Linked DNA regions of Caenorhabditis elegans. The protein of the gene in region 2 purifies or fractionates together with the protein of the main gene of each other region. This does not show direct contact. Each region holds a gene or a part of one and is shown on either strand. Other genes may lie near its edges.

What was found. The genes of interacting proteins can lie anywhere in the genome.
Region 1: the proteins of rpl-13A (region 2) and rps-15 fractionate together in Caenorhabditis elegans (co-fractionation; one large-scale study listed by BioGRID). This does not show direct contact.

Annotation. Positions count from the first base shown.
Region 1 is NC_003279.8:8,815,072-8,817,866, reverse strand, and holds rps-15 (Small ribosomal subunit protein uS19), read left to right. Parts: upstream 1-1,673; 5' UTR 1,674-1,681; coding exon 1,682-1,788; intron 1,789-1,863; coding exon 1,864-2,086; intron 2,087-2,141; coding exon 2,142-2,267; 3' UTR 2,268-2,295; downstream 2,296-2,795. Other genes in the region: F36A2.9 (Lipase_GDSL domain-containing protein), read right to left, coding at 1-110, 155-259, 618-886. UniProt on the Caenorhabditis elegans protein: Negatively regulates lifespan.
Region 2 is NC_003281.10:3,499,534-3,508,165, forward strand, and holds rpl-13A (Large ribosomal subunit protein uL13), read right to left. Parts: upstream 4,072-8,632; 5' UTR 4,064-4,071; coding exon 3,805-4,063; intron 3,753-3,804; coding exon 3,600-3,752; intron 3,553-3,599; coding exon 3,356-3,552; 3' UTR 3,308-3,355; downstream 1-3,307. Other genes in the region: M01F1.8 (VWFD domain-containing protein), read right to left, coding at 1-77, 1,248-1,548, 2,340-2,534, 2,602-2,796, 2,842-3,003; lias-1 (Lipoyl synthase, mitochondrial), read right to left, coding at 4,246-4,574, 4,631-4,866, 4,911-5,212, 5,257-5,354, 5,404-5,503; M01F1.4 (Transmembrane protein 245), read right to left, coding at 6,246-6,377, 6,434-6,669, 6,720-6,820, 7,162-7,319, 7,373-7,495, 7,553-7,671, 7,728-7,884, 8,283-8,632.

The DNA of each region.
Region 1 (2,795 bases), on a different chromosome or scaffold from region 2:
CGAGAGCATCTCCCATTGCAGCAATGATTGTTATATCTTCAGGAGATATGTTTCCAACATTCGTTCCAGTCAAAAGTTCAGTTTTGATACGAGGACAGGAGAATGTCTTTCTGAAAAAAGCTTCATTTTTATCAATATATTAGTAAAAATAAACCTGTCATTGAATGCAGAGTTGATTACACCAGCCACTGGTTGATGTTTTTCAGGTTTGATGGCGGTCAGAGATTTGAGATGTTGATGATCCACACTGTCTCTTTCTCTGAAATAATAATTGTTTTTGTCATTTTTCATAGAGTTCCAGGAAGACCATCACTCGACCTCATTCAAAAAGCGTTTAATTGGAAGAAACTAATATGGAAAAGAAGATTAAAAAATTAAGTAACTCAACAAAAATAAATAGGATAGTTTGAAATTGGGAGAAGCAGACCATGCGGTTTTAGCATTCTAATTTCAAAAATTGAAAACCCTTCTTCATCTTCGTGTGATGACGTAGCAGTGTCGAAAAATTTGTCATAATCGGCTGATTTTCCCCACATTTTTATAAGTCTGAACTGTCCAAATTTTGTAAATCGCAAGAAGCCGGTGAGAAAAAATGATTTTAAATTAAATGGTCACACCTTTCTTCACTTATATCACTTGAATCATCATCTTCTGAAACTTCTGTACTGTCATTTCCACGCCTTTTTTGTTCTTCTGGAGTTATTTTATCGTCATCACTGCTTCTTCGGCTCGCATAATCGGTCAAATTTTGCGAATTATCCTCATAATCCACCATAAACTTTCCCTCGTCATGGAACTCCCCGCGTAGAATTTTCTGGTCTACATTGGGAACCACAGATCCATGTGCAAAATAAAATAGAAGTAGTAGAAGTAGGTTTAATCGCATTCTGAAAAAATTAAAGTGAAGACAAAATAGTGCTTGCGATAAGGCTAAAGAAGAAGATATTTAAAAGGTAGAATCGTCAAAAGGAGAGAATATAGATCTCCAAACTCTATTATGCTTTATTTGCAGTTCGAAATTGAAAACAATGCTTAAAAAACAAAATTAAATCGACAAGAATTTCAAATAACTAATTATTGTCGAATAAATTCTGGTCGAAACTTCATTTTATGAAAATAATTTGTATTCAGCAGTTGAATACATTTTTTATTTTGAGAATAACATTATTTAAATTAAATTACGAAGCTCCAAAACTTTTTTTTTCACCAATTTCCGTTTATCAGGCCCGAAAAATTGATAAAAATATAAGAATTGCAACCGCGCTCCACCGAATTCTGGCGAACAGCCAACCTGCGCTGAGTAGCGACTCAACAATGATGAACGATACGGAGCTTCGGTTGTCAGTAGAATTTTTACAAAATTTTCCGTTTTTCGCGATTTTTTTCACGGTTTTTCTGGTTTTTTGGTGTTAATACCTGTTTTTAATATAGAAATACTAATTTTTCTTTTCCTACTGTAGAGAAATATGTGAAACTAATGGAAAAATTATCGTAAAAATGTATAAAATGGAAGTTGCATTAATTCAGATTTTATTTAATTAAATTTTACGATATGTAAGTCAGTGCTCTTTTTGATAATTCATGACGAGTTTTCTTCACTTCTCTTCCATATGTTTATTTACTTTCTTTTCAATATCCATATATTGCAACAAAAAAAGTAATCGATTTTTCAGGGTTAAACATGGCTACTCAAGATGATGCCCATCTCGCTGAGCTGAAGAAGAAGAGAACTTTCCGCAAGTTCATGTACAGAGGAGTTGACTTGGACCAACTTTTGGACATGTCCCGGTAATTTTTTAAAACAATATTTTGCCGGCAATGTCTGGTTTTTGGTCATCTCCAAGAACAATTATTTATTTCCAGTGAACAATTCACCAAGCTTCTCCCCTGCCGCATGCGCAGACGTCTCGATCGCGGACTCAAGAGAAAGCACTTGGCTCTCATCGCTAAGGTCCAAAAGGCCAAGAAGGCTGCTGGTGTTCTCGAGAAGCCAGCCACCGTTAAGACCCATCTCCGAGACATGATCATCCTTCCAGAGCTCGTTGGTGGAGTCATCGGAATCTACAACGGAAAGGTTTTCAACCAGGTGAGTCGATTACAATAAATGCGAAAACATTATGATTATTATTATTTTGTTACAGACCGAAATCAAGCCAGAGATGATCGGATTCTATCTCGGAGAGTTCGCTATCTCCTACAAGCCTGTCAAGCACGGAAGACCAGGTATTGGAGCTACCCACTCTTCCCGATTCATCCCACTCAAGTAAAGTTATTTGTTGAACAATAAACTTGTTTCTAAAGTTGATCAAATTATGTTGCTGTCTTTTATACACGGTTGAATAACATCAATTCGAAGAAACGTGATGATTTTATATTAGAATGTGTCGAAATGTCCGCGCGAGTTGAAAGGGTCAGTTGAATATTGGATGCGAATGCCTTTACGGAAGCCCGCACTATCACAAAAATAACCACCCAAATTTTTTGAATTTCTTTTGTATTCCTAATAAAAGTAAACGAATATCGAGAACTTGCTGGCCCTGGATGTCATCGACCAATCTGAATACCGTGATTACCATTCTTCTACACAGCAATACGCTGCTTTTAATGAACAGAATAGTCCGAACACAGAATTGCAATAAAAGGCCATAATTTTAGAAAACGGCTTCTCATTTTTTCTCATCAACATTAAGTGAAAAAATGGATAGATTTTGTTCTTATTTCTCCGAAAGGTATCAAAAATGTTCGACTTGGTGGCAATAAGTTTCCTCGTCACATACTTCGCTGTCTCCCACTTG
Region 2 (8,632 bases):
ATATTTGATTTTCAGAGCTCCTTCGAAGCAAGGCTGCGAGAAAATGCAATTCGGATTGTTCTTACGGTAGGTGTTTGCTGAAAATTAAAGTATTTTATTGGAAACCGTTAATATTATGGGAACACGGTTCACTCTGAAATCGACGTTTAAAACGCGCTCCACTGCCAATTTCAAACGCTCCGCCTCTTACAGTTGGATCTCGTTAGGTATTTGGCGGCAAACCCGGGAGGCCCCACGAAAAGGGGAACTGAACGAAAAGGGGAAATTGGCACCGTGCCAACGCATAAAACGCACTTTTTCTCGAAGAAAACGGTACAACGATGCTCCGAAATTAAGCGTCGCGTGTTGTTAAGCGTATCTTCTAGAAGAAAAGTTCGAAAAAAGTCGTGCGTTGAATGAGAAAAAAAGCGTTTTATGCGTTGGCACGGTGCCAATTTTCCCTTTTCGCATTTCCCCTTTTCGTTCAGTTCCCGCTTTCGTGGGGCCTCAAACCCGGAAATTCGAGAGGCCCCACGGAAAGAGGATCTGCGAAAATGGGATCTACGAAAAGTGGAGTTAGCAAAAGGAGATCTGGCATTGTGCCAAACGCACAAAACGTATTTTTTCTCGAAGAGAACGATACAACGATGCTCCGATATTCCGCATCTCGCGTTGTTTAGCGAGTTTTCCAGAAGAAAAATTTCAAATATCAACGTGCGTTGCAGAAGAAAAATTGCATTTTTTTTTCAGATCTCCTTTTCGTTCACCTCATTTTTCGTGGGACCTCAAATTCAAGCGTTTTTAAGCATTTTTTTCGTCTTTTTTGCTTAATTTTCCGCGGGTTTTAATAAGTTTTATGCCGAAAATCGATAATTATTTGGACAAATAATATTTTTAAGCCATCATCTCGACTTCACGTGGAGTCAGAAAGTCCCATTACGCTTTGATCTTCCAAAAATGCGGGAGAAGATGCGCAGACATCTCATCCGATTTCGCATAATTAAGAGCGTGATGACGTCACAATTTTTCTGGAAAAATATTCCCGCATTTTTCGTAGATCAAACCGCAGTGAGACATTCTCACACCGCGTAGATTTAGAAATCATTGAAAACGGCTGAAAATGTAACAAAAAAGACAAAAAATGATTGAAAATCTTTGAATTTTCGCATTTTCCACCAAATACCCAACGAGACCCATCTGTTCGGGGCGGAGCGTTCATATTGAATTGGAAATTTTTCTGCGTCCCAATAATATTTCGAATTTCTAACCAAAGTTCCGGAATCTCGCCGCACAAGCCTCCTTTGAACTATCAAAATAGTCGAATCCATCGATTGGTGGTGGCTTCTGAGCTTGAAATGCACTTTTAACTGGTTGTGGAGTAACCGGTTTTCTCAAAGGTCTCTGTACAGTGACTGGAGTTGGAGTGGGGGCTATGTTCCAAGCGGAAGTAGACGGAACTTGGGGGTTTGGAGGAGCTAAAGGACGTTGTTGAAGGGGAGCTGGCGGACAAACTCCGGCTTTTGGAATTACTCGATAAGTTTGGCGGCCGTGAGCGTTGGGAACATCTATCTGAAAATAAATTAATTAGATATTTACCATAATACGGAATTTTTTCGACATATAACTACGTATTAGCTATAATTTGGCTCTTCTTCTGGCATTTTTTGAGGGTTTTCCAATTTTTTTTTCGATTGAACACCGCAGAAATTCTAGAAAATTACCTATTGCCTATCCATGTTTTTCCAACATTTTTCATTAAAAATTAGTGTGAAAAAATAGAAAATCCCTTGATTTTTCTGAAAATAACGTTGATTTTAGTTGAAAAATTTGAAAATGTACTATAAAATTACCTGGAAAGTGCAAATCAGTGATTTGCATCTTACAATTAATTTTGAAGCACATTTTCAAATGTTTCAACTGAAATCAACGTTTTTTTCAGATAAATCAAGTGAATTTCTATATTTTTACACTAGTTTTTAAAGAAAAATGTTGGGAAAATATGGTGCAATAGGAAATTTTTAGACTTTCCGAAAATAATGCTTCATAAAGTCGATTAAAGTTTGAAAATCCTCAAAAATTGCGAAAAAAGAGCCAAACTTTGAAAAAATCTGAAATTTCCGCAGCTTGAATATAGTTTTTTTTTGAATTATCACATATTTTGGCTGTTTATCAGTTATTTTAAGCAAATTGAATGCCCAGCGACTAAAAAAGCGCCTAAATCAGCGAAAAACTTCCCAAAAATGTTAAAAAAAAAGGGAAAATTCAATAAAACTGAATTCGAAAACGACTGCGAAAACGACAAGCTGACGAAATTTTAAATTTCAACAAAATTTTTGACGTTTTTCTCAAAATTTCAATACCGCAATATCATGATATTCATCAGTAGCCAACGCGGCTCTCCAACAGACTCCTCTCTCATTCGGCGCTTGCTCTCGTGCAACAAATTTGACACGTTGGCCCGGCTTAAACATTTCAGTCAACTTCTCAACGTCAGGACGAACAGTGGCTCGAGTCACGAATACATTGGTTGTCAAAGGCTTAGTATAGCCTGGAATCTGAATTTTGTAGTCTTAATAGTTAATTTCGTATTAAAATTGCTCGTTATTCCACGTTTCCACAAACCTTGGCAAGAGTTGGCGGATTTTTGGTATATTTCCAGTCAACGAACATATACTGAGCTTTATCATCGGGAATATTGATAACTGCACCCTCAGCAACCAACATTCGTCCTTGTTTGATAAATTTAAGCTCAGTGCCAACCCAAGCGAGTTCATAGTTTGCCATTTGTGATAGCTTATCGCCAACTTCAATATCTACCTGAAACATCGGGTTTTATTAAAGTTTTCCTGGAAATAAGCTTACAGTTGTAGCTTTTCTAGCATTGAATTGAACTATATCGTCATGTTTATATCCACGAGTGAGCAATTCCTTCTTAAAAAGAACACCTTTTCCATCATAGCGAACCATCATCATATCGTGTGAAACAGCGACGACGGAACCTTGCTTATGAAGGATTGTAGCCATTTTGTAGCTCTGATATTAATAAAAGATGATATTCAAAGAAGAGGCTCCACGAGAAGAGGATCGGCATAAAGTGGATCTAGCAGTGTTTTAATAAAAATATCTCTTAATTTTTTAGTAAAAATAGTGTTTTTTCGATTTTCCGTAAAATCTAAAATTAAAAACCTTCAGTTTCTCTGCCCTTAAATGTACTGGCAATTTCCAAATAAATTTCGTGGGACCTCTCGAAAACATGCAGTGAGACAGAAATATGAAACAAAGACTCTCAACAAGTAACCTGAATATGTTTTGAAAAAACAGTAGTGATATGGTCAACAATTTTATAATACCAAACAAAACAGATTTGTGCATGGATTTAATTGTATCCAAGAGCCTCGATGATCTTCTGGTATTGAGCGATCTTTGGGGCGGCATTCTTCTTTGCTTGAACGGCGAGCTTGTCCATCTTCTTTTTCTGTTCGAAGTAGGCGGCTCCCTTCACCTTTCTCTTAGCCTCGAGCTTGGCAACAACATCCTGGAATTGCCATCCGACCTCGTGCGATAAGCGTCCAACTGAAAATTAAATAATCGTTGTGATCAAAAAAATTATAATAACTCACCGACGCAGAACTTTCTTCTTGGTTGAAGTCGGAATCTGCTGGCTGATGGGGCATGGAGAGACTTGGTCTTCTGGTATTTGGCTGGAACTCCTTCGTAGGCGCGGAGGTTCTTGAGAGCCTCGTTTCCGCGGTTGGTCTTGTGTGGGAGCATTCCTGAATAGAGAATTTATTAATTTAAGTACAGATAATGTTTAAAATCACTCACCTCTGACGGTACGCCAGAAGATCTTTCCTGGAGCACGGTAATGGAAGGCTCCACGGGCTGGGTTGATGTTACAACGCTTGCGGAGGAAGCTCATGTACTTCAGCTTGGAACGGTGGAAGTTTCCGGAGATGACGATCTCTTCAGCTCTGAGGACGACAACCTTGTCTCCTTGGAGAAGCTTCTTTGCAACGATGGAAGCCAACCGACCGAGAAGGTGGTTCTTTCCGTCAATGATGATTGCTCTGTTCGACAGACCCATCGTTTACCCTGAAATAAATACTGATAAGAAGGGGAAAGTTTAGAAATACACGAGAGTAAAGGAAGAGAGATAAATCGAAGCGAGAGAACGCGCATAACAATAAATATATGAAAACTATTTCGAGAATTTATTTGGCAAGAATCCCGCACAAATTCTTCTAATATTTACATATTTCAGTAATCTTAATTTTGTCTATTTCTCAACACATTTTTCAAATAGAATTCTCCGGCTTTGTACGAAGAGCGAACAAGAGGGCCAGATGCAACGTAAAGGAATCCCAGTTTTTTCGAATATTCTGCCCACTGGTCGAATTTCTCGGGGGTCACCCATTCTTTGACAAGCAAATGACGTTTTGTCGGCTGCATGTATTGACCGAAAGTGACAACGTCAACATTGCTAGCTCGAAGATCGGCCAAGCACTGCTTTATCTCGTCTTCAGCTTCGCCCAGTCCTAGCATAATCGATGTCTTCGTGATTAGCTTTGGGCTGACTTCCTTTGCGTATCGAAGAGCTTAAAAAATATTCAATAATATTTACGAGATTCTGAAAAAAAAAAAAGCTGCTTACCGTCCAAAGACTGCCGATATTTAGCTCGTGGATCTCTGACCCATGGAGTCAGTCTTTCAACCGTTTCAATGTTATGTGCATATACATCGAGTCCACTGGTAGCCATTTTCTCCACACTGATCTTATCTCCAGCGAAATCGGGCAATAAGCATTCGATGAGAAGTTCAGGCTTCTTGAGCTTCATCAGCTGTACTGTCTTGCGAAGATGATCGGCTCCACCGTCTGGCAAATCATCCCTGAAAATTACTTTGATTAAAAGCTCAAGATACGAATAAGTTACCTGTCAACTGATGTTAAAACAATGTATTCGACACCCCATGAAGCAACGGCGGTCGACGTATTTTCCGGTTCCATAGGATCCAATGGTGGAGGAGCTCGAGCAGTTTTGACCGAACAGAATTTACAACCCCGAGTGCAGGTATCTCCCATCAACATGATTGTCGCTGTTGCTAGACTGTCATCTGATCCTCCCCAGCATTCTCCAAGATTTGGGCACCGTGCTTCCTGACAAACAGTCGCTAGTTTGAGATGTTTCAACTGCTTTTTTAGACGACTGACATTTTCGTTTTCCGATGGAAGAATCTGAAAACAATTGTGATGAGGGGCAAAAAATTGATAGGCTATACCTTTTCTTTCTTGAGCCATGGTGGAAGTCGCAAACGTCTGTCCCCTTTCTCCAGCTTCAGTTTTCCTTCGTACTTCTCAACAGCCTCTGCCACGGATGCTAAAATTAATAATTATTTGATTATGAAACAATATTGTTTGAGTTTTACCTGATGAAATAAAATCCTGAAGCGATGGTCCATCTTTGACGAGAACTTGCGGTTTTTTCTTTGTGGCTGCAAGTCCACGGACCCATACCCGAGCTAGCATGCTTAAACAATCTACCGGTAATAATTAAACTCCTTGTGTTGAAAATCAAGAGGGACCCCCTACAACTGAAATTCTGGTTGAGAAATAGACAAATTTGGATTTTGGGAACATTTTTCCACTTTTCCTACCTAGTTTCTGACAAATCTCGCAGAATAAGAACTACAATCGATAATTAGCACTATTAATCGTTTAAAAATTAAAAATTCAATCAATTTTATGCAAAAAATCGCGCAAAAACGTGAAAAATCAGGCGAAAATCGTGAAAAAATTTTAGGATAGCGGAAAAAGCCATGCGTTGAGGTTCGATGGGTCTCGCCACGATACGCAATCAGACGTGACGGTGTATGCACAGAAAAATCCACCGTAGTCCGCAAGGCCATTCGCAACATTTTTTTTCACTTCAACAATCAAATTTAACTCATTTTTCCAGCAGAATCTTGGGAATTTTCATAAAAACCTTAATAGTGAGGTCCCTTTTGACTTTTTACGTGGTTTATTCGTGATTTTGATCATAACTAGAGTTCTAAAAAGGATAAAACGCTTTTGAAACGGAAAAATAGTTTAAATTGGCTTTCACGTTACCATAATGAGCAAAATAAACAGAAATCCGAAAAAAAATACATGTTTATTATGAGACAAAAGTTCACCAGGAATGGCAAGAACCGAAATTTGTAAAATACAGGGGTCAAACAAACTAAAGGCAGTGTCTAAAGAATGCGAAAAATATTTTTGATTAATATAATCAATGATTATGCAGCTTCACATTTCGTGGAGACGGAGCTGGGGTGTACAGAGCTGTTGGCTTCACGTGCTGGAGATAAACGTTGACAAGTACGAGGCAAAGGCAGAGAACAATTGGTCCTATGATTGCGCCCTGAAAATATATTTAAATGAGGTACTTTTTTAGTAGAAGAAGTTAAATACACAAACCTGCAATCCCAACCAGTACATTCCACCAATGATAGCCAAACCGGTCACATATGGATGAGATCCCTTAACTTCCCGGTAAAAAGTAGCATCTGCGAACATTACAGGAGCAAATGAAGCGACTGTGAATACAAGAGCAGCTGCTCCTTCTCCTCGAACCAGCCAGAGTTCGACGATTCCGAAGATTGCGACGATGTAGGGAGGCATAATTGGAATAGCAGCGAATACTGTGGCAGCCACTGGAAAAATGGGACTTAGTAAAATTAATTAAATTTTAAAATCAACTCACTTGATGGAACAAATACAATGTTCAAATCGAAAAGACTGTGCACAAAATAAGTGTAGAGACCGTAGAAAACAGCCATTTTTGCAGAAAGAACGAATACTCCGCTGAAAAAAGGATTTTTTAATTAACTTTTAAATAATAATTCCCATTAAAATATAGAAAATGGGGCGAAACTACTCAAAATGTATGGATTTTTCAATTTTCCAACAAACCCGGGCAAAGTCATTACTTCATTTTTCCCATACAAATGGGACTATTTTTGCCGAATTTTCTGAAATTTTTCCCCAAAAACATGGAAAATAGGCCAATTTTGGAGGTTTTTCTACGGAAAATTCGATAAAACCCAGAGATTAACCTAAAATTTAATTATTTAAATTGTTCGTAAAAAAGCTATTTTTCAGGACTTTACAGTCGATTTTCTAAATTTTTAAGCCTAAAAACGTACAAAATCGCATGTTCTATCGCTACAGTAATATGATGCTGATTTCCTGCTGACGAGCCATCGGCTGTAGTGACTGCTGAGAGATCAGAAGCCCATTGAAGAGGAAGCCAGCGAGTACGAGAAGCCGAGAGAAGATAATATACCATTGTAAGGAAGACAATCTGAAATTCACTTTATATCGATTTTCAAATAATCTAGAGAAATTATTCAGTACCATCTCGATAAATGTGTTGAGCAAATCCATTCCAAAGCTTAAAATAATTCCGGCGAGAGAGACCAAAAGTGAAGAGAAGATTGACACATTTACGGCAAGAATTGCTCCAATAGATTGGGCGATCTGAAATTTTTTTAAAATTAAAATTAGTTTTTTTAATTGAGAAAAAAGCCTTCAAACCCCCATAAGAGTGTCCAAATTCTCCTTGACAATCAGTGTTAGCTCGTCTTTCAGTGCTGTCAAATCAGTGACCCCCTTCAATTGAGTCCAGACATCACCGCGTGGCTCCTGATTTACTGCTGGAACTTTTTTCCAAATTTTTTTATTTAATTAAAAAAATTTTGAAAAAACCCACCAACTGTGAAATTATTATTTCTCTCTTCCCACATATTGTAGAGTTTATCAACGACTTGCTTAACCTGCTCCTCGAGCATATCGGCTCTTTTTGTGTCTTTTGCGTTCGCCAGGGATCTCACATTGGAGGCCAACCAAGTACGGCCTTGTTCGTAAGCCTGAAAATTGCAAAATTATTGTTTTTTTGTTGGAAATGTCGATTTAAAAAATTATTTTTCGGAAAATTGATTTTTTTTACGAAAAAGTGATTTAATTCGGATATATGCATTTTACTTTAAAAATTGTTTTTAAATAAAAATAAGCTTTTTTTCCTGAAAAATTGATTTATTTTTGGAAAAAAAAATATTTTTTTAAATAACTTTTTACAGAAATTTTGTTTTCCGATGTATTCATATGTTCCTTTCAAAATAAGGAAAATTCGCTTTTTTCCAGAAAAATTGAATTTTTTAAATAAAAAAAAATATTTTAAAATTTTTTTTCTCGATTTTCTCTGCAAAAACAGCGAAAAAAAACTACTAAGAATTAAAAAACTCTAAGAATTAAAAAAAAACAGCACCTGCTGAACATAATCATCAATATCAATATTATTCTCTTCCAACTGATCCTCCGTATAATCCATCGCCGCGGCAAGCCAATCCGGACGAGAATTCACCACATTCGATGTAAGTCTGACAAGATGAACCGTTTCTCCATGCAGTTGGAATCCAAAGAAGAATACGGAAAAGATTGCAGAAAATGCGAGAAGAGCCATAACTATTACAGATGACAATACATCCATCTTATCATGTAGTGTATCAACAATATATTTATCCGATGAGAACAACATTTTCACAAATTGTCGTAATGGCCCGGCTACGGTAATCTCCACGATTTTTGTGACTGATGGTGACATCTTTTGCCAAGTGG